Astyanax mexicanus: one gene and its partner. The protein of the gene in region 1 interacts with the protein of each later gene in a biochemical or structural test. Links are inferred from orthologs where the notes say so. Each region holds a gene or a part of one and is shown in the gene's direction. Other genes may lie near its edges.

Region 1 (9,968 bases):
TATAATACAGTAAATCTACCCTGAGATATTATAATACAGTAAATCTACCCTGAGATATTATAATACAGTAAATCTACCCTCAGATATTATAATACAGTAAATCTACCCTGAGATATTATGATACAGTAAATCTACCCTGAGATATTATAATGCAGTAAAAAGTCCATTTTAAGTCTAGGTTGCCAGGTCTAATATACTACATTTCACTATTATTACTGTCTCCCTCCTAAATATATAGTGACATACCAGCATTTAAAAATAGAATCATGATCTTAATTATATATGTTGTTTTAATAATAATTTAAAATGAATTAAAAGGGACAACCTTTTTTATCGGTATTGGATCGGGACACTGTATTGGCAGATACTCGAAATCAAATTACTCAAATTTGAAGTTAAAAAATGTGATTCCTCTTAACTACAGCCCTAATAATAACATGCTAATGTGCAGATTGAAGGGTTGCTTACCTCAAATGTAGACAGTTGTTAAATATAGCATGCAGTTGTTTACATGTTTATATTGGTGTCAATATACGTGTGTGTGTGTGTGTATGTGTGTGTGTAAGACAGGGGTTTGCCAGCACCGTAAATAGACCTCTGTGAACACTGCTCGGACATTCACGAGCTGTCACCTGCGAGCTCTGCAGCCAGTTTCCCCGTCCCCTCCTGGCTAATCCCTGCTGATAAGGCACACAAAGGTCTAAACGCTGGCTGCATCCTCCAGCAGCATACAGCGCCTGCTCCCGAATGCTGCGATTGGCGCGTCAGCACTGTCCGTGGAGACGGACACGCCACCCTGCCCCGTGCCTGGGCTCTAGCTGGGCCTTCGTTCAAAAACGCTGACGAGTGAACGCTGGGATCTGATTTTTTTCTTTGTATTTTCTTTCTTATTTGTTTTTACTGCATTATATATATTTTTGCAGCTTTTGTTGAGGCCTGTGTATGTGAGGGGATGGGCTTGCAGGGCTGAAGGCCTGAAGACCACGCTGTGTTTTTCCTCAACTGCTGCTCTGTGTGCTGCACACACACAATCGCACGCATAGAGGTAATCCAGCCAGTTATGGTAGTAATGTAGTAGTGTCTGTAAACTGTAGCTTGTGTTGTTGTGTTGCTGTAACTGTTTTGTGGCTGTTGAGCTTACACTTACAGTTTATCAAAAATAGGGCTGCAACTACTGATTATTTTAGAATAATTTGACTAATCTATCAGTTATTTGTTTGATTTTTCAATTAGTCAGCGATTATTTCTTGTTATTTCTTATAACAATGTTATTTCTTTCTTTCTAATATATTCTCATATTGTGAATTTTATTCTAAAATAAAAACTTTTTGTGAATAAAAAAAAGAAGTACAGGTTGGGCCACTTAAGTTTAGAGGCAATTTTTTTGAATCAACATTATCAACTAATGGTTGCAGCTCTAATCAGAGATAACAGATTTTTATCTTGAAATGCTGGTAGTATAATGGGATCCTGATAGACAGTCCTGTACAAATTCCCTGTGTCTCTATTTTTCTCTATTTTATATGTCTACTCGACCATATAACTCATAAGAGGAAGTTAATTTGTCTGAGAGAAGACTCATTGTAGTTTTCTCGCCACAGCCATGTGTACGGTGGATCTTATTATGAATATGATGAGAAGATAAGTCCTCATTATCCGTAAATGGGATGATGTTGGACTGTGAAGTCCTGCAGTCCTTATCTGACCTATAGAACAATGCTCTTTTAGCATAGCAGTAGGTCAGGACAATAATTATAAAATAGAAATAATAACAATAATAAAAGTGTGTGTGTGTGTATATATATATATATATACACACAAAAAAGCTTTGAAAATAGCTGTAAAAAGCTTTGAAAATAGCTGTAAAAAGCTTTGAAAATAGCAAATTTATAAAGAAGGAAGTACAACTAAATGACATTACAGAGGAAGCACAAGTGTATAAGTGAACCACATCAGCAGAGCAGAGCAGTTTACTGATATTTATAAAAGATGCAATATCATCTAATGAACAAATTGAATAACAGTAGCATACCTGTGAAGTCTCCCGTTTTGGCCGGGAAACTACCGTATTTTACTCCTCTTTCTCGCCGTCCTCCCGTATTAGTATTTTCCCGTAAATTTCCCGTATTATATTACAATTAAAAATATATATATTATTGAGGAGACAGGGCACTGACCGCTCTGTGTCTCTTAACCAATCGTGGAGGCGGTTCAAGGAGAAAGTCACGCCTTTCAGGAGAAACAGCCAATCAGCTTGCAAAGGAGGGTGGGGAAGCCCCCCGTCGCTGTGAGTTCAGGCAGCTAGTCGGATCAGCTGACGTTAAAAAATATCTGGATATGCAGCGATTTTTCTAAAAGAAAGGTAACGGTAGGCTAATCATGTAAACTGTGATGAGATTTTTCTGATAGCTGCTTAAAAATACTCGTCTCCGAAATAAAACACACAGATTAAACATTTTAAAATAAAAAAATTACAGCTTGTGACTCAGTTTAACTAGAAATGTGGCGAGGACCGAAATTAACTAAACTGATCAGGGGTGGAGTGATCAAAAGATTCATTTTGCAGAATTTGTGCACCCTTTGTTCAATTTTAAATCCATTAAATAAATAAAAAATATATCATATAAAAGAGTGCATTTATACCAAAAAGACATGAAATCTTAACTTTTTAAAAAATATATAGAAACGGGTTTTTAATTTGGCTGTATTAAAAGAATGACATATGCAGGAATGTCCACAACATTTCAGATTCTGATCATCTATTTGTAGTGTATAAGTGGTTCACATGTCGTTATTTTAGATTTTTTTGTAAACCTATCTTAAAACGTAAGGGATACCTTACCTTCGTTGGGCTGGTGGGACGGCTTTAAGCGGACAGAGTAAAATATCCCTTATTTTTAAATCTAAAACTTGACAGGTATGAACAGTAGTTCCTGAGTGGAAACTACCTCCACTCACAATAGTACTTCAGGGATTAGAGGCTGTGAGCGTACACCATCAGCAGCTTCACACTGTTTAATCTGTTAGTTAAATGGTCTGGGAGAGAGTCAAGATGTGTTTGGCCACTAAAACACCAGTATTTGCATGTTTAAAATTGTGTATTTTATTTTACACAGCAATCAGATTTCAGTCTGACTGAATTTTTTGTATAAGAAACGTAAATGATAAACAGGTTGCTAAAATTGCAGTCTAAAATCCATGTACAGGTCACTAGTGCCGGGCGGTATAGCCAAAATTGAAAATCACTGTATTTCTGACAGTTTAATGGTATATAACGGTATTTTGATTATTATTAATTATTTATAGTTTTTTGCATGACTGGTCTTTAATATAGGAATAAGTGTAGTATAAAATGTCAGACTTTGGCTAGTATTGGCTTTACTTTGTCCCACAAAAAACTACACAATATATGAAGGAGTCAGAGTTCATTAGCTGAAAAACAGCTGAAGAATGTGAACAATAGACCTTAAAAAAAGGTATGACAACATTTAACACAGCTTGGTGGCTTTTCCTTGTTCTCCCCATGTACGTGTGGGTTTCCCCTGTGAACTCCGGTTTCCTCTCACAGTCTAAAACATAGAGATCAGGTACATTTGGTACATACTCTAAAATTCTCAGAAAAATGTAATAATGGTATCTGTGTGTTGTGATGATGTAGGATTGTTAATTTGCATGTGTGTGTGAATTAGGGCTACAGCAATTAGTCGCCATAATCAACAATGTCAACTATAAATATTTGTTGACACAGAATTTCATTGTTGAAGCATCGTTAATGTGTGATGGTGCAAGAGAGAGGAAGACACACACTTAGTGAGAGAGTGAGCATCCTGATTGGCCGTGAGAGAGTGAGCACTCCTGCTTAGTACGCCAATGAAGTTGTAGTGTGGGTGGGAATTGCAGCGCGTAAGAGATCGGGAGAGAAAGACGTGCATACAGTGTAATAGCAGCGCTGTGTCAATTGTACACAAACGCACATATTACTCCATGATGCTTCTTAGTCTGTCTTTACTAGTTCTGTACAGTTTAAACACTGATTTCTATATTACCCGTGGAGACATAAATTACTGCAGAGAGCTGCTGAGGAGAGTTTAAACAGGATTATTAATAATATTAACATTAGTTAAAATAACAATTGCTGGCTAAGAGATACTGTACTCTGTCCACTCCAAATTAAGTTATATGATGTAACTACAGACTTTAATAAAAATATATAAATATTGTCTTAGACAAACAATCATTTAAAAAAAAAAAAAAAAGTAAAAGGAAATCCAGCCTGTGTTAACGTTTCCTGTAACATACTTTGCAATTTTTAGTTTAATATAGGTACATCAAACTATCAAAATGTACCATGTAAATGTTTAGCTGTCCTCACCAGTAGGAAGTACAAATAAAAAAATATTTGAAAATCATGCTAAAAATAGTTATATAGAAAGTCATTCTAAAAATATAAATTTCTTCTATTTTTTGTTAAGGACAGCAATATACATAAAAAATACATACTATAAGTATCCTAAAAGTTTAAAGTCCTAATAAATTAATCAGCGATATTTTTTAAACACGTTCTTTGTCATGTAATCAATTAATTGAACTTAACATGTTAATGTGACAGCCCTAGTAATACTCTGTTGATAAACTGATTAGTTTGTAATATTGCCTGTAATATCAGTTTTTATTTGTATACAGTGAACAATTTTGTCTTGTTGTCTTTTGTTTATATACTGCTAGCTTTTTTTATATTCCATGAATGCACTATTTATTGAATACATATCAGTTAAGGGGAAAGTGTTTTAATAAAATTTCTTTTAAAAAAATAAAAAAATAAATTAGTCAATTGTTTTGTTTTACTCCTTCAGATGAAAACTAAAAAATGTTTTATTATTGTTTTTAGTGAATATTTTCAGTTGTCAAGTAAATTCTAGTAAAGGTGTTTGTAATAGAAATAAAGAAAGAAATCTGTCTGGGAATTATTTGCTTCTTTCAAGAAATCACTTGTCTCTAATTTGGCTTTCAGTTTCAACTTTCTTTTTTTACTTTCAATGCCCAACCAGCTTTGTAGACAGGATGTTAATTCCACCGTCTGCAGCTTCAGTTCTCATCTCAAATAGCATCAGGGTCTGAAGTCAAGCAAAAGTGTGAGGAAAACCAGCAAGGCTAGACTTTAGAAAACATTTTTCTAGTATATTGAGTCCAGTCAGCAGTAATAAACTAGCACAACAGCTTGGAAATCTGAAGATGAACTGTGAGTATTACCTGCAGTTGTATGGCTCTTGTTTTTTTTTTTTTTTTTTTTAAACACGTTTGGATAATTATACAGATCTTCTTGTTCCAGCCTTTTATTTATTTGTGGATTTTAAACAAAGGTGTGCAAAGTCTCCCTATTTATTACTCAGGTAGATACTAGGGTTTAAATACTTCTGTAAAAGAATCAACTCAAGCTTTTTACTCAAAGTAAAAGTGTAAAAGTACTGGTTTCAAAACTACTTAAAGGATTAAATTAAAAGTAATGTAAGGGGAGCTTAAATAAAGCTTAGGCTGCACCACAAATTTTTGTTTTTGCAGGGTGGTTGCAAATATGTTAGATATGTTGATTACACTAATTAAGGCAAGCAGAAGAAGTTTCATACTGAAAAAATACTTTTTATTTAACTATACTGTTTATATATGATTTATTTATAGAAGATTCATTGGCTTATTTACCCTTATTACTATTATTAATATTTATATCAATATTCCATATTTCAGTTTGTTAGCGTGATGTTTTATTTAAAAACACACCTGTAGCTTTTGTGGGACTGTTTTTGAAAGTTCTATTTGTCCTGTTTGCATGGCTGCCATGCAACATTTTAGTCAAAAAGCGTAAAACGTGGAGTTCTCGAACTAAGAGCAAAGTTCATCTAAAAACAAACAGTTCTGTACAGCTGAAACAGTTTGGCAGATTTGGAGAGTCGGTGTTCACTGAGGAACTGCTGAGAGAGTGAGTGGATCACAAAGGAGAACAGACAGTTAAATGTCTGACTGGATCATACAGCAGTAAAGATGCTCAGAAGTGGCCTGAAGTTCATGGGTTGTAAGTGATGTAATTACCTTTTTGTATAGTAATATTGTTGTAGAGATTACTGCAGTTGTTAATATAGTAAAGTAAAGTAGTACTGAAGCAACAGCTGGACATTGTGATGAAATAGTGCATGGCATTGAGTCATATTCAGTGAGAAATCATCCAGAGAGCTATGCTTAATGTTAGGTGCTTAATTACATTATTATACTGTATATATCAGGTATCAATTAGCTGTTGTTTAATCATTTATTTAGGGATTAGTTAGTGATTAATGAGCGTGACTGAAGTCACAAGGATTGAACTCACATTGTGCTAAGGGTGTTTATTATATTGTGTTATATAATATAAAATTAGGGATGAAGAGTAATTAGGGGTGAGCTGATCTGATACTCAGTATCTGTATCGGTCCAAAACTCGTCAAAATAAAATAAAAAATAAAAAATTCACAATAAGATATTTTTTAAATTGATTGTGATGAACGATATAATTTGATATAAACGATATAAAAAGACCATTAATTGCCACTGGCATATTGATAATGTAATAGCACAAGAAATCATCAGCTCAGAGACGCCTTGTGCTGACAGACATCACCTTAGGGAGAGAGCACGGCCAATTTTGCTCTCTAGGACTGATTATCAGAATAATTTAATGGTATAATTATCATGACGGGCCTATGTCCAACCAAAGGAGGTTGTCTCAATCCAGATCAGCAGTGAATCCGAATATTAAGTTGTGAACCATTGGATTTGCACATTTTTGTGAAAACTGTAGTAATTGAAGAATATTACTATCATAACTGTAGTTTTGTTTGTCCCCCCTGCCCTACACTTTAATACACTAGTGCCCTCTAGTACGGAATTAAATTTTATAAAATGAAACATGGGTTAGTGTTTGTTGTTTTATTGATTTTTCCTCTTTGTGCTTTATTCACACTGAACCCTGAGTGCTTTTTGTACTGTTGCATGCTTTTTGTAATTTTTTTTATTTATAACTAACATTTTTTATATCTAGATAGTAATGTTGATGATTATTATTAGCAAAAGATTTAAAGTAGACAAATTTGACTGCTGTTCTGTTGATATTTCTTCCATCTTTTTGGATTTCTTTATTTTCTTTGTTGGAATCACGTTATTTCTGATCAGGGTGACATGCTACGTCTTAATATTTTATTATATCACTGAAGTTTTGTCATCATCTTTTTTTTAGGAATTGTTTGGGTTCTAAATCTACAATCTGCATGATCTTGAGAGAGTGTTAGAAAGCGGGTCTCCCGTCAGTGCTTTAGACAGTTCTGCAGAGTTGATGTAATCCCCTTGGTGTGTTGTTTATCCTGGATCAGTATTGATTTCTCCTTGCTCTCCTTTCCCTCTGTAAACCCTGGGTCACCATATGTGTCTGACGAAAGCCAGTTCTAGCATTTACTCTTCCAGGTCTGTCAGGACTACAAAGCTGTACGATAGAAATGGATTTTGTTTGACTCTTCCAGAAACCCAAAAAAAGCACTCAGACTTGAAACATCCTTTTATTTCATGGCTTTCACTTGAATACATTGCAACAGGTTTTTCTGCTTTAATACAAGAATGATTATTCAACACTGACTTCAAAAGTTCTCCTTTTTGTAATCCAGCATGTAATTCATATTTGTTTTAGGTTTTGAAGTGAGGTAGTGAATTCTCTTGTATTTTTTAATGGCTAGTTTGTAGTCTGGAGTTTATAAAGAGGTTTTATAGTAGGGCTTTTCTGGTACAGTTGTGTAGAAGAGTGTAGAGAGTTTTTTTTACCCCTCCTTGGCCCTCAGCGACTGTAATCTCTGAAACAGTCAGAAACTCAGGAACTCGTCTAAAATGTGCTTATATGAGCCAGACTGCTCTGAGATAACTAACCCAGAGGAAGCGGATGTGAGCAGTTCCTGTTTCTGAAGCCTTGGCCAGTTTGCAGTGTCATGCCCACTTTTGTCAGAGTTCTCAGGAAATTCGCATAAGGAAATTGAGAGACACTAAATGGACATAAGTAGGAATGTCCCAATCAGATTATTTTTGCTCCAATATTATTCAAGTCTCTAAATGGTAAAGAGCAGCGATACTAATCAGATCTTTGTGTTTTTGTGTGATCTCTATATAATGCAGCCCCACAGATTATGTATTTATATATTGAGACATCCTGCACTCGTTTAGTTTAATAGTGACCTTTTTATACTGTTTTATAGTATTCAAATATCTTATAAGCTAGTCTGACTGGTTATATAGGATTACGGTATATACAGAGCCAATGTTTTTTTTTTTATTATTTTACAATGTTCTGCATTTTAGATGAATGCTCAAGTCATTCAGACTATAAGGAAAACATATAGAATTATTTGTTTAACAAAAAAGAATGTTTTATATTTTATATTCTTCAAAATAGCCCCTCTTTGCTTTGATGACAACTTTGCACATTCTGGGATTTTCTGCAGTAAAGTCACCTGCAATGACTTTGAGTTAACAGCTGTGCTGAACTCATCAAGAGTTAATTACTTGAATTTCTTGTCTTTTAATGTATTGAAGAGCATCAGTTGTAAAGTTGTGAAGAGGTAGAGTTAGTATACAATGAATAGCCCAAATAAAGCCCTGCAGTAAGCACCGCCTGCCACTACCTGTATTGTAAACTAGTCGTAAAAGCTTTTGCATGCTCCTGGACTAGTCTTTAGTTGTTGTTTTACCCAGTTCTGTTTAACATATCACAAATAGGGCTGGGTGATATTGTAAATATTCTTTAAATATAGGGCATTATATGGGAATTAATTTATTTTACATTTTCAATTACAATGTGCTACAAAACAAATAACAGCAGAATTTAGAGCTATCAAATATGTAAACTAATGTTTCCTTTACATTAGTTGTCAAGGGAAACACAGCTTTAATATTAAAGGTGCTAACAGAACCTCCTAATATTTTAGTTTATACACTGCCTGGCCAAAAAGATCACACTGTAATATTTGATTAGACGCTTTTAGGTTTGATTACGTCATGCATTCACTGTGGCATTGTTTCCACAAGCTTCTACAGTGTCACAACATTTCTTTTTATTCTTTCTATCTGCTGCATTAATTTTTCCCCAAGATCTTGTATTGATGGAGGCTCATATTGTATATATCACCGTTTTTCTTCAGCATATCAAGATGAGTTTTTATATTTATATCGCTTAGCTGTAGCTTATTTAAATGTGCATGTATAAGCAAGTACCTGTGTACAGTGTGGTAGGAGGTGATGTTTGAATGGCCTCTTCATGCTTATTGCAGTGAGCTGCTCCATCTGTTCTGCCATGCTAGGTGGATTATCCTTCTAGTCTGAGCAAGCATGGATAAACTGGCACCGGCATGTGCTAACAGGTGGCATGCCCAAGGTGAGTGCCATGAAGGCACAGTGAACAAGAATACCTGTGGTAGTCCATTGTAGATTTAGAAGCATCTGCTGCAGGCAATTAGGCTTTTTCAATATTAGCTAATTGGTACCTTGGTGATTGAAGATTACATGGACTCCCATCATTCAGTCATCTAATATATATTTAAATTTCAGACATTTAGACAAATTTTAGTTTGTAGTTATTTTATATTATATTATTCATTTTTATTTGTTCTTTATTCTCTTTTTTGTTTAATATTTGTTGTTCTAGGCTTGTCATGATAATTATTTTATTGAAGCTGATGTCTATAGTTTTTTCCGACCTCGTTATTGCTGTTGTGTTTGTTTGCATTTATTTCAGCGGAGATGTTTATTTAACCAGGCATGTTGTCCTTTTCTCTGTTTTGTCACACACACACACAAACACAGAGTACAGTTTTACTGCTGCAGTAGTCTTTTACATTGTTTAATCAAGAGATACACTTATTTGAAACTGTGTAATTTCTTTTTCAATGTAAGTAAAAACTACT
Region 2 (10,311 bases), on another chromosome or scaffold:
TAAGTCACTTCTGTAGACAGTGCTTTTTTGTGAAATATGGTAAGGTTAAGACTTTGGAGTTTTTATTTTATTTTAAGGAAACACACACCAAACAAACCCAGACCCTGCAAACAGGGAGAGCATTTAACAGGGGCTTGGTAAATGTGGGTCTGTTTACTGGGGTAGTAATAATGAGTACTTGGTTCATGTTCATGTATGAAATCACCGAGGGTTTTATTTTATACCAGGGTTTTATTTTATTAACACAAGCTGTTTTCTGCGTTTTACAGTTCCCTGTAATTTACATGTCTATGTGATCAAATGTAAGCCTATCCAAATTTAAAATTGTTTTTTTCTGTTTTGGTTGCAGGAATGAGTATCAATTATCATATTCCAAAGATGTGGAGTTTTAGAAGACATTACCTTACCAGTGAGGAGGAGACCGCCACTGAATACTGAGTAAAAGTTTCTCAGGGCTGTTTTTTTTTTTTTTTAATGAGCTGAAACACCCTGTTCACAAATGCATGTAATGGTGTAGGACGATTATAAGGTTATAAAATAACTATAATTGGTTACTCTACTTAAGGTCTTTTTTTAAACTAGTACACAATGTAAAGTTGTGGGAGTGTCTATGCTTAAGTACATTTGAAATCAAATACTGTTATATTCTTTTTTGTGGTCATAAGTGAGGACTTCTACTTTTACTGCTGTAGTGTTTTACCTTGAGTAACTCTACTTTAACTAAAGTGTGATTTTGTGTATTTTGCCAGACAATTAAAATCTATTTGGTCTTGGAATCTTATGCAGCTGTTTAGAAGGATAATGAGTGACTTCAGACAATAGCTTATATATATATATATATATATATATATTACTTGCCTGCATTTCAGGTGAAACTCCAACAAGAACATTGTAGATGATCTCTGGCAGACACACGTGAAAATTTTAAACTAAGGCTCTTTCAGCTATTAATAATACACTTTAGAACTACTTAACTGCTGCATTTAAGCATTAAAGAGCACAAAGAAACAACAACCCTCACTGCGCTTGCTGCGCCTCCTATATAAAGTCTTAGCCCCTCCTTTCAGACCAATCCAACTGAAGTAGCTTCAATTAACTAAATAATCAAACTTATAAATTAATTTAAAGGCTAAACACCCACATAGTATAAACATTAAAGCATATGATGAACACTGAAGCATAAATTAATAAATGTTCATATCAAAAACATGTCAGAAATAAAAAGCTACACTCTAATACCCCCTGTCCCAAACTTCAGGAATGGTATGTTCCACTCCTAAAGGCGGGAGACACCTGTATAACTGGGCTGATTGGGACGGTTGGTTCTGTTTGTTAGCGTCCCAGTGCTGCTGCAAGTAAGTGGTTCAATGGTTAATGTAGACATAAATAAAAGCTGAATTAAGTTACTTTTGATGGGTTGTGCATGTTTTTTTTTTAACAGAGCAGGTAAAATAGGTGTGTAAGCTTAATACTTAAGACCTTTTTTTGTAAGGAACTATATTTAACACACCCAACAAACATAGGCTTTGCAAAAAGGGAGAGGTTTTAACAGGGACTTTGTAAAAAGTGCAACCTGGAGAGAGTAAACAATGGGTAGTTTATTCCTGAATAGTTTCTTTATCATATTCCTTTATTAGGACGATGTTTTAGAGCCATACAAAAAAAAAAAAAAATAGTTAACTTAAAGGTGTAATATTATGAAAATAATGTTATATTGCGAGAATAAAGATGGTATGACGTGATATTACGGGAATTAAGACGTTATAGAGTTGAATTTTGAGGAAAATGTAATTGTTGCAGTTTAAGAGCGGAGCGCTGAGGGAGGGAAAGGAGCATTTTCCGCTCATTATCTGTTACAGGGCTGTTCGCCATCAGTTATCTACATTTATAACCTGCTGATTATTAATGTTCTAGTGTTGGATAGATAATGCAGTGTGCAGATTTTCCCGTGGTGCCATAGCCGAGGCGCCAGCCTCCCCTGTGGTCGAAACTCGCGCTCCTGCGCGGACATTTCCTGCCTTTTAGTTTAGTGTTTGTGACCAAATGAAGACAAATACAGTAAATTCCAGTCACGGATAAAGAAAATGTTTTTTTACTGATGCAGGATGACTTATAACTTAGAATTTATGAAATCACTGAATTTATAAAGTCACTAAGGGTTCTGTTTACACCAGTTAATTCTTGTGTAACTCAAGATTTGTAAACAAGGCTTTAGCTGAATTCTGCATTTTACTGTTCCCTGTGATTGAGTCTCTGATAACCAAATGTTAGCCTATTAAAATTTAAAATGATCATATTTTTTTTCTGTTTTGATTGTAGGAATGAGTCAATATATCCTCATTTCAAAGATGTGGAGTTGAAGAGCGTGATCTTACCAGTGAGGAGACCACCACTATATTGAGTAGCATTTTTTTAAAGGTGTTTTTTTTTTTTTTTTTTTTTTTTTTTTACAAACTTATTTACAAGTACATGTGATGGTCTAGGACCGTTTCAAAGTAAATAAAATTGGATACTGTACTTTTTTTTATTATTACTTTATTTTTATTTCTACTTCTACTTTTACTGCAGTAGTGTTATACCCAGAGTATCTCCAGTTTTGTGCGTGTATGCGCGTGCGTCGTCCTGCAGACAATTAAAATATATTTGGTCTAGGAATCTTGTGCAACTGTTTAGAAGGATAATGACTGACTTAAAAAAATGGCTGTATATTATAGCATTACTGATTAACATCGAATTGTATAGTAATACTGAACAGAATTGTGATTAATGCAATAAAGGGGCCTTCATTTCAAGAAAATAAAAAAAAGATTGCCAAACAAAACCCCCAAACTACATTTACAAGCCATTGTGTTTTGTACAAATTGATTTTTTTTTTAATGTGACATTTCACATTTGTGACGTGTTTTTTTATGTTAACAAAACACTGAAAACTAGGCCATGTGGTCAGTGCGGGTACAGATTACTTTACAGATTATTTTTGTACATTTCTCTTCTGGTGCCCTTCAGTAGTAGTTTTCATGGCTAAATTTACATAAGTGATTACAGAGTTTGTTACACATGCCAAGGAAAAGGTGCGTTTAGTCAAAATTGCACACTTACCCTTACGTTTTTGCACACTTACGTTTACCCTTCAGGGCTTTCATAACAAACACCACTTTCAATGGACTTGCTCAAGTCTGTTCCAGCTGGGTGCAAGTTGTCTGTCCTTGAGCGTCAGCAGCTTGGAAGAGGCTTTTTAGTTGTGCAGGATTAGCTGGAGATGTTACTTATAGTACTGGTTGAATTTATTTTAATGGTATTGTTGCTAATGCTATTCATTACATGTTTTATCCACTTGTTTTAATGAAGTTTGTCTTCCATTTCTCTTATTAAAAAAGGAAATGACAGCTAAACAAGTAAAAAGGGGACATTCAATACAGTTTGACTCTGGGCCATTAGAAATAAAAACAAATAAAAGTTGATTTAATTAGCATAGATACAGGGATGTAAATTGACATTTATGAATTTCAAAGTGTAAAAAGAACCTAAATATCCATTTGCTGCTCCAAATCCTACAACCCTGTAAGTGGCTAGATGGGACCTGCACATGGGCCCATGGCCATGTTTACTGGTTATTCTTCAGAATAGGGGTATTTAATTAGAATTCAGTACGGTCCAGTTAGAGTAAATTTCGTCAGTCCACGGTCATATATATATATATATATATATATATATATATATATATATAAACATCTAACCCGTGAGTTTGTTGAACACTATGATTAAAAAATATATCAGTAAAATCTGTGGCCAGATTTTGTGTACATTCGTCCCTGTCTCTTTCGCGCTGGGCCTGTCTTTAATTTCCTGTCTCTTTATAAAGGCGTTTTTTTCCCGGCTGCGTCCCAATTCATAAGCTGGGGCATCGGTCTGCACAGACCTGATTGGCAGAGGAGAGCGTTTGGTGATCTAACACCACACGTGATTGGTCTGTGAGTTTACTGCGCAGCAAAGCAGGTAAACCATAAAGACAATAAACGTTCCTCCGCTTTGAATAAATACGGTCAGAATTAAATTCATCTCAGTAGTTTATTGGTCTGGGTCCGGACCGCGGTCCGTCTATTAGTGACCCCTAGAGGATTACTTTTGTTAGTTGGTGAAAAATGCATACTAAGAAAACCCAATGTTGTGGAAATGATTCTTACACTTAGTTTTTCTAATTAACACATCGAAATAAAAATAAAACACTGATTCAACATGAAATTATTGCTATAATTATTTATTATTAGAACATCTTATAAAAGAGTAGCACCCCACTTACGAATTTAAAATAGACATAAAATAAAAAAAAAATATTTATTTCAATTAAGTTACTCTACTTGCTTCTTATACCGAACAAAACCCCTTTTATTTGATACACCTGAACCATTCTGTATGAACATTTAATCAGTTCATAAAGGGACTTTTAAAAATAACAATTATGTTTGATATAGGGAACACAACCCTCACTTTCTGGTGCAAAACGCAGCCACTTCCCAACCACATCAGAAATGGTAATCAATCTAAGACATTGGAGTTGTTGATTAACTGCACCTATAAAACAATAAAAAGCTTTCAGATTATGTTAAGCCACACATCACCTTAGCTTGAAAGTAATTATCTCAAATAGCAAGTGCTTCAATAAAGTGGTCAATTAGCAAAATAACATTGAATATAACATTTAATATGAAAGACTTAGTAATAAATGTCCTGCAATGTATAATGCATAATTAGAGATACAAAAATGTGTGAATTCTAGGACAAAGCAGATATCCAATAACACACATGTATAGAGTGCAGACATGTCAATTAAGTACTAATAATTTGTTACCTTAAGTAGAAATTAGTTCTCTATACTTTTTTAATACAATTATCTGTATTATCTACTTCTTACATTTTAAAAACAGACCTACTTCTATTTCATTTTGGCTTATAAAAAAAAACGATCAGGATGATGTGTGAATTTGATTGTGGTTGGATGAGAATTATAACCATATACTATACTGACTCTCACTATTGGTTTATAGGGGATCCATCTCACCTGCACATCACCTGAAACTGAAGTAGCTTCAATTAACTAAATTATCAAACATAAACTTAAAGGCTATAAACCCAAATAGTATAAACACTGAAGCATAAATTAATACATGTTCATATCAAAAACAGAAACAAAAGGCTACACTCTAATACCCCCCTGCCCCAAACTTCAGGAATGGTATGTTCCACTCCTAAAAGCGGGAGACACCTGTATAACTGAGCTGATTGATATAATTGCCTCTGTTTGTTAGTGGCCCAATGCTGCTGAAAGTAAGTGATTAAATGTTTAGTCCCAGTTACAACTGAATAAAAGCTAAACTAAGTCACTTATGATGGGTGTTTTTTTTTACAGACCAGGTATAATAGGTGTGTAAGGTTAATATTTTAGAGCATGTTTTGTAAGGAAACCAATTAAACACACCAAACAAACCTAGGATTTGCAAAAAAGGAAAGCATTTAAGATCGGTCACATTAGCAGCCAGAGTTGCCAGGTTCGCGGTTTTTCCCAATGTTTTAAAAAAAATCCAATCGCGGGTGAAAAATCAGGGCTGATGGGGTGCGTTTTTGTGGTCTACTTAAAAAAAAAATCGCAATATAACCAAAAATCACCAGGCAATAAACAAAAGGTTAAAGAGGAGAGAATTGTGTTCAGGAGAGGCAAGAACAGAAAAGAGTAAGTAAGTTGTTTTTTTGTGCTAATTTTTACTATTTATATATTTAATGTTCTTGACTGGGATAAACTGTTATGAAATAACTAATAAAACAATAATATTAATGACTAGATAAAATATCAATATTCATAACAAATAACAAACTAAACAAAATAGTGGTAAACTAAGTTAATTTGCCATTTGCTTCGAAGGTGAGACACATATTTTGGGCTAGTTTAAGCTTCTGCAGGGCGGGTTTTAGTCTGATTTTGGGCTGGATATTTTGTTGGACTTGGCAACCTTGTTAGCAGCAGCTGCAGGTTTCATACACACAAGCTCGTCAACCAAACCACTGGAAAACCCCAGAAGGCGGGCCCTATAGAGCAGAAGGTCACAACAACCAATCATAGCGAAACTAGAGGCTCCTCCACCAATCAGAGCGGAGATAGATGCTCCTCCACCAATCAAATCGAAGAAGGAGGCTCCTCCACGGGTTCGGTTGGTGTGGTGTATACAGTAAATGGTCCCATGTTTAACTGAAATAAACGCTGCCTCTGTGTTTTATAGCGTTACTTTGTTTTATTTGAGTGCACTGTTTGCTAGTATGTAATGGTTGAAGAAGGTCCGCGATGAGGGAACGCTAAGGTGGACTGTTACAGTCGTAGCTAGCTAGCTAACGCTGTTTAGACAGCTAACGTTAAGCTAACTCACGTTAGCTAACGCTAGTTAGCAGCTAACCCAGCGACCCCGGTGAACCTTCTTTTCCTTCCCTGCTTTTTATGTCGCTAGCGAACTAAACACTGGAGTAAAAGCTGTGAAACCACCACTCCTCACCGAGGGAAGGCTGTTTTTCATCCCAGGGGGAGCTGCCACTGTTTCAGGTAAACAGAAAAGTAATTTAAAGCCTCAGTTTGTTGGCTAACGCCGTTCCTTGCCTTTGACTGCTGCCTTCTGTACAGCGAATTTTCATGAATGTCTCAATTCTCAAAACTGTCTTTACGGTGTCGCTCAAGCCCTGCAACAAGTGTATTTCGCAAACTCATATAGATTTAGCTACCACTGGTCAACGTTAGCTTGCGTTAAGTTAGTTGTTTAGGGCCGACCTAGCTTAGCTTAGCAAGGTAGCTAATACTGTTAACTAACATACACAGGTAGCTGAAGCCAAGCTAGAGCCACGGAGAGCTACGATTAGCTAGCAGGCATCGATGACTTCACGTGGTTGCTCTGATTTGAGGTGATGTCATCCCCATACACCACATTTATTACAACACATATTAGTTAACTTAACTAATATATTAACTGGTCTGTGGTGGTGGTGATTATAATGATGAGATGTTGTGAGAAGGATAACGTGTGCTATAGATTAGCTAGTTAGCACTAGGAGCAGGATGCTCTTCTCCTAAACAGCAGGTTACAAAGCCCCCCTGTCAGGAGGTTTCAGCTGTCATAGTCCTTTCTTCTAATGTATTTTTAGTGTATTAGCTGTGTTTAGCAAATGTACAGAGCCCCTAAAAGTATAAAGCTAGAAAAATCTATCAAAATATTTGTAAAAACAAGGAAACCTTTTTTTATGGGGGAACCATGTATTGACCTAATTATACACTAGTCTAAACTAACCCACATGTCGTATTGTCATCTACTGTTTATCATCTACTGTGGTAAAATTATGTTTTTATAAGTGTTTTCTAAGTTTATACAACTAGAAACTTATTAAACTAGAGTTTTAATTGTTTCCTAGTTTTGATAAAAAATACACTATTCTTAGTGCATCAGCTGTGTTTAGCAAGTGTACAGAGCCCCTAAAAGTATAAAGCTTGAAAAACTTAAAGCCCAATTTCCTAGTGTTGATTAGGGCTACAACTAATGAATTTTTTGGTAGTTGACTAATCTGATTATTGATTATTTTTTCGATTAGTCAAAAATGATAGAAACATCAGAACATTAGATTTAAATGGCATTAAAATATATGAATGTTGCTTAAACATTAAAAGTACTGATATTTAGTGATGTTATCTGTTGTGTTTGGGCACTTTTGGAAATACAAAGTTGAGTGTAAAATGTGTGAGTGAGCTGTTTACCCATCTCCCATTGCGCTTCTTTCAACAGCACTGTCGATTATAGTGACTAATCGCTGCAGCCCTAGTGTTGATTAGAATATGTTGAAATTTGGAAGTGAGGGAAAAATGTATTTACCTATTTATACACTAGTCTAGCCTAACCTAAGTCAGGTTACCAAGCCCCCTGTCAGGGGTATTCATTTGTCTGTCCTTTCTTTCTAATCTAATGGTAGTGTATCAGCTATGTTTAGCAAATATACAGAGCCCTCAGGAATATAAAGCTAGGAAAATATTCTTTAGAGATTTAAAATATTTACTGTTTTTGATAAATGTGTCCCTCACTAATTGCTGGGTCTGTGTAACATTTTAACTTTTAGGTCATTTTGATATCAGTGTGCTAGCACTAGAAGGATGCTGTTGTAAATAAGCTGTCATAGGCTTTTTTTTTCTAAAGTAGTGCATCAGCTGTTTTAGCAATTATACAAATCCCCTAAAAGTATAAAGCCTGAAAAATATAGTTTAAAGTTTTAAAAATGTTCTCAGTTTTGAAAATTGTGTTCCTCACTTCAGCTTAATCATCCCCTGTAAACTGTGGGAACAGTTTATAAAAAAAATATGGAAACTATTTGTGAGGGAACAATGTATTGACTTGTTCATACACTATTCTAGTAAGGATATTTTAACCCACAGGTCCTTCTGTCATCTACTGTGGTGATATTAAAGAGATAGAGTGTGCTAGCATAAAAAATGTTGTTTTAAAAGTCAGGTTACAAAGACCCCCTGTCAGGGGGTAAATATAGCTCTTACAATCCTCTTTTCTCACCACTTCTTAGTCTGTCAGCTGTGTTTAGCAAATGTATGAAACCTCTAAAAGTGGTCCTTATTGTCTTTGGTCTGGAGCTTATGGTGTCTTTCTTCCCAAAAAGTCATGTTTAATATCTTATTATTTGTAAACCTCCTGACTGTATTACCAGCCCTAAAATGCCCCAATCCTAACCGTTTTTTTAACGACTTGCAGATTTAAATTTCAGGAGTAGATTTATATTAACTATGACACAAGTTTACCAGACTAAACACATATTTGGTCTCAAACTGTCTGCAAAGAAATAAATGTAATGTGCATTTATTTATTTGCATTTTATTCATGCTGCTCATACTTGCTTTCTGATTTAGGGTTGTATTTATTCTGCAAAACTGACAGCATCTATAAGTTAAACTCCTGACCGTCCGTTTTTTCTTACTCTTTGATTAAGGTGTTTCCTCTGGGATGTGGTGGCCACTACATTATGGGTAGTTGAAGTTGGAGCGTTCATCTTCCCACTCTCTCTGACAGTAGCGCAAAATGTCAGTTAGAGCTATTTTTTATTGCAGTCACCTGTTACTAAAATCTCAGTAGTTTCTACCCTCTAAAAAGTGAACCATTGGGATGAGTCAACGATATTTTTGGAAGGTCACAGTCTTTTACATTATTTTGTTGCTTATCTTAGTCAGCTCATGTGCTGTTAGTGAGCAGGAAGCCTGGGCAGTGAGGTTGTCTGTGAAATCCCCTGCAGCTTCATTGACATGGTCGGCAGCTCTGGGGGGAAATCCGAGTGTGCACATGCTTAGTGAGTCAGTGTGTTCAGTGCTGCAGGGAGTATTTGTGTGTGTTTTTGTCTCAGGCTAATTTGGTTCTGTAAACGGTGCATGGATTACATTTACAGTTTATCTGCAGAATTTGGTTTACTTTGAACCATTAGGTCCACTTTTAATTTTTATGGTAAATTTGTTGCATTTCCAGTATTTTTTTTTTTTCTGAGCTAATGAAGGTTGTTTGACTAATTGTAAAAGGTTAATATGGATTGAAAGATACATTCTTAGCGAACACACAAGAATAACATTATGACCTCTCCTTGTTCCCAAAAACCTAACAAATATTTTTACCTGAGAAAATCACAAGACCATCACAGAATGCAGATATTACTTGGGTGGTTGGTCTTTCTCATCACTGAAGTGACACTGATATGTTGATGGTGTGTTACTAGCATGTATTGTTCTGGTGAGCTGTCAAACACAGCAATGCTGCTGGAGTTTTTAAACATGTGTGTCAATGCTTGACGAAGAATAGTCCACCAACAGCATCCTTCTCAGCAACTCAGAACAGAAGAGAAAACTCTGTGGTGTTTCATGGAGTATTCGCTGAAGAACAGATAGCTGCACTGTGACCTACGTTACTTCTCTGATGGAAATTTTGGTAAAACACCAGCTTCTACTAGGAACTGGTCTAAGCTGGCCTTTGATGGTCAAATTGGTTGATTTATCAGCTGCTAAGCAAGCTAGTTGAGCAGCTTAGCTTTGGACCAGCACAACTTCCGCATGAGTTTCAGATCAGGATGTTAAGAGAAGCAGATGAAGTTGTAGACTTGAATCATCAAAGGACCTGTTTCAAATCAGGAAGTTATTATACAGGCCCCATTTTACTAGTTTCAGGTGTGTTCAGTTTAATGCTGTGTTTTCAATGTGCTCTCGTTGATGATTTTATAATTTTTGTTATAATACTTTATTATGTG

The links.
Region 2: of the proteins of mib2 (region 1) and cylda, one has a biochemical effect on the other in vitro, tested with the Homo sapiens proteins (2 studies listed by BioGRID, with this or other methods). The link is inferred for Astyanax mexicanus from reciprocal best matches to the Homo sapiens genes MIB2 and CYLD.

Annotation. Positions count from the first base shown.
Region 1 is NC_064419.1:12,571,244-12,581,211, forward strand, and holds the start of mib2 (E3 ubiquitin-protein ligase MIB2), read left to right. Parts: upstream 1-5,940; 5' UTR 5,941-6,036; coding exon 6,037-6,067; intron 6,068-9,968. UniProt on the Homo sapiens protein: E3 ubiquitin-protein ligase that mediates ubiquitination of Delta receptors, which act as ligands of Notch proteins.
Region 2 is NC_064430.1:11,827,250-11,837,560, reverse strand, and holds the start of cylda (ubiquitin carboxyl-terminal hydrolase CYLD), read left to right. Parts: upstream 1-6,204; 5' UTR 6,205-6,586; intron 6,587-10,311. UniProt on the Homo sapiens protein: Deubiquitinase that specifically cleaves 'Lys-63'- and linear 'Met-1'-linked polyubiquitin chains and is involved in NF-kappa-B activation and TNF-alpha-induced necroptosis.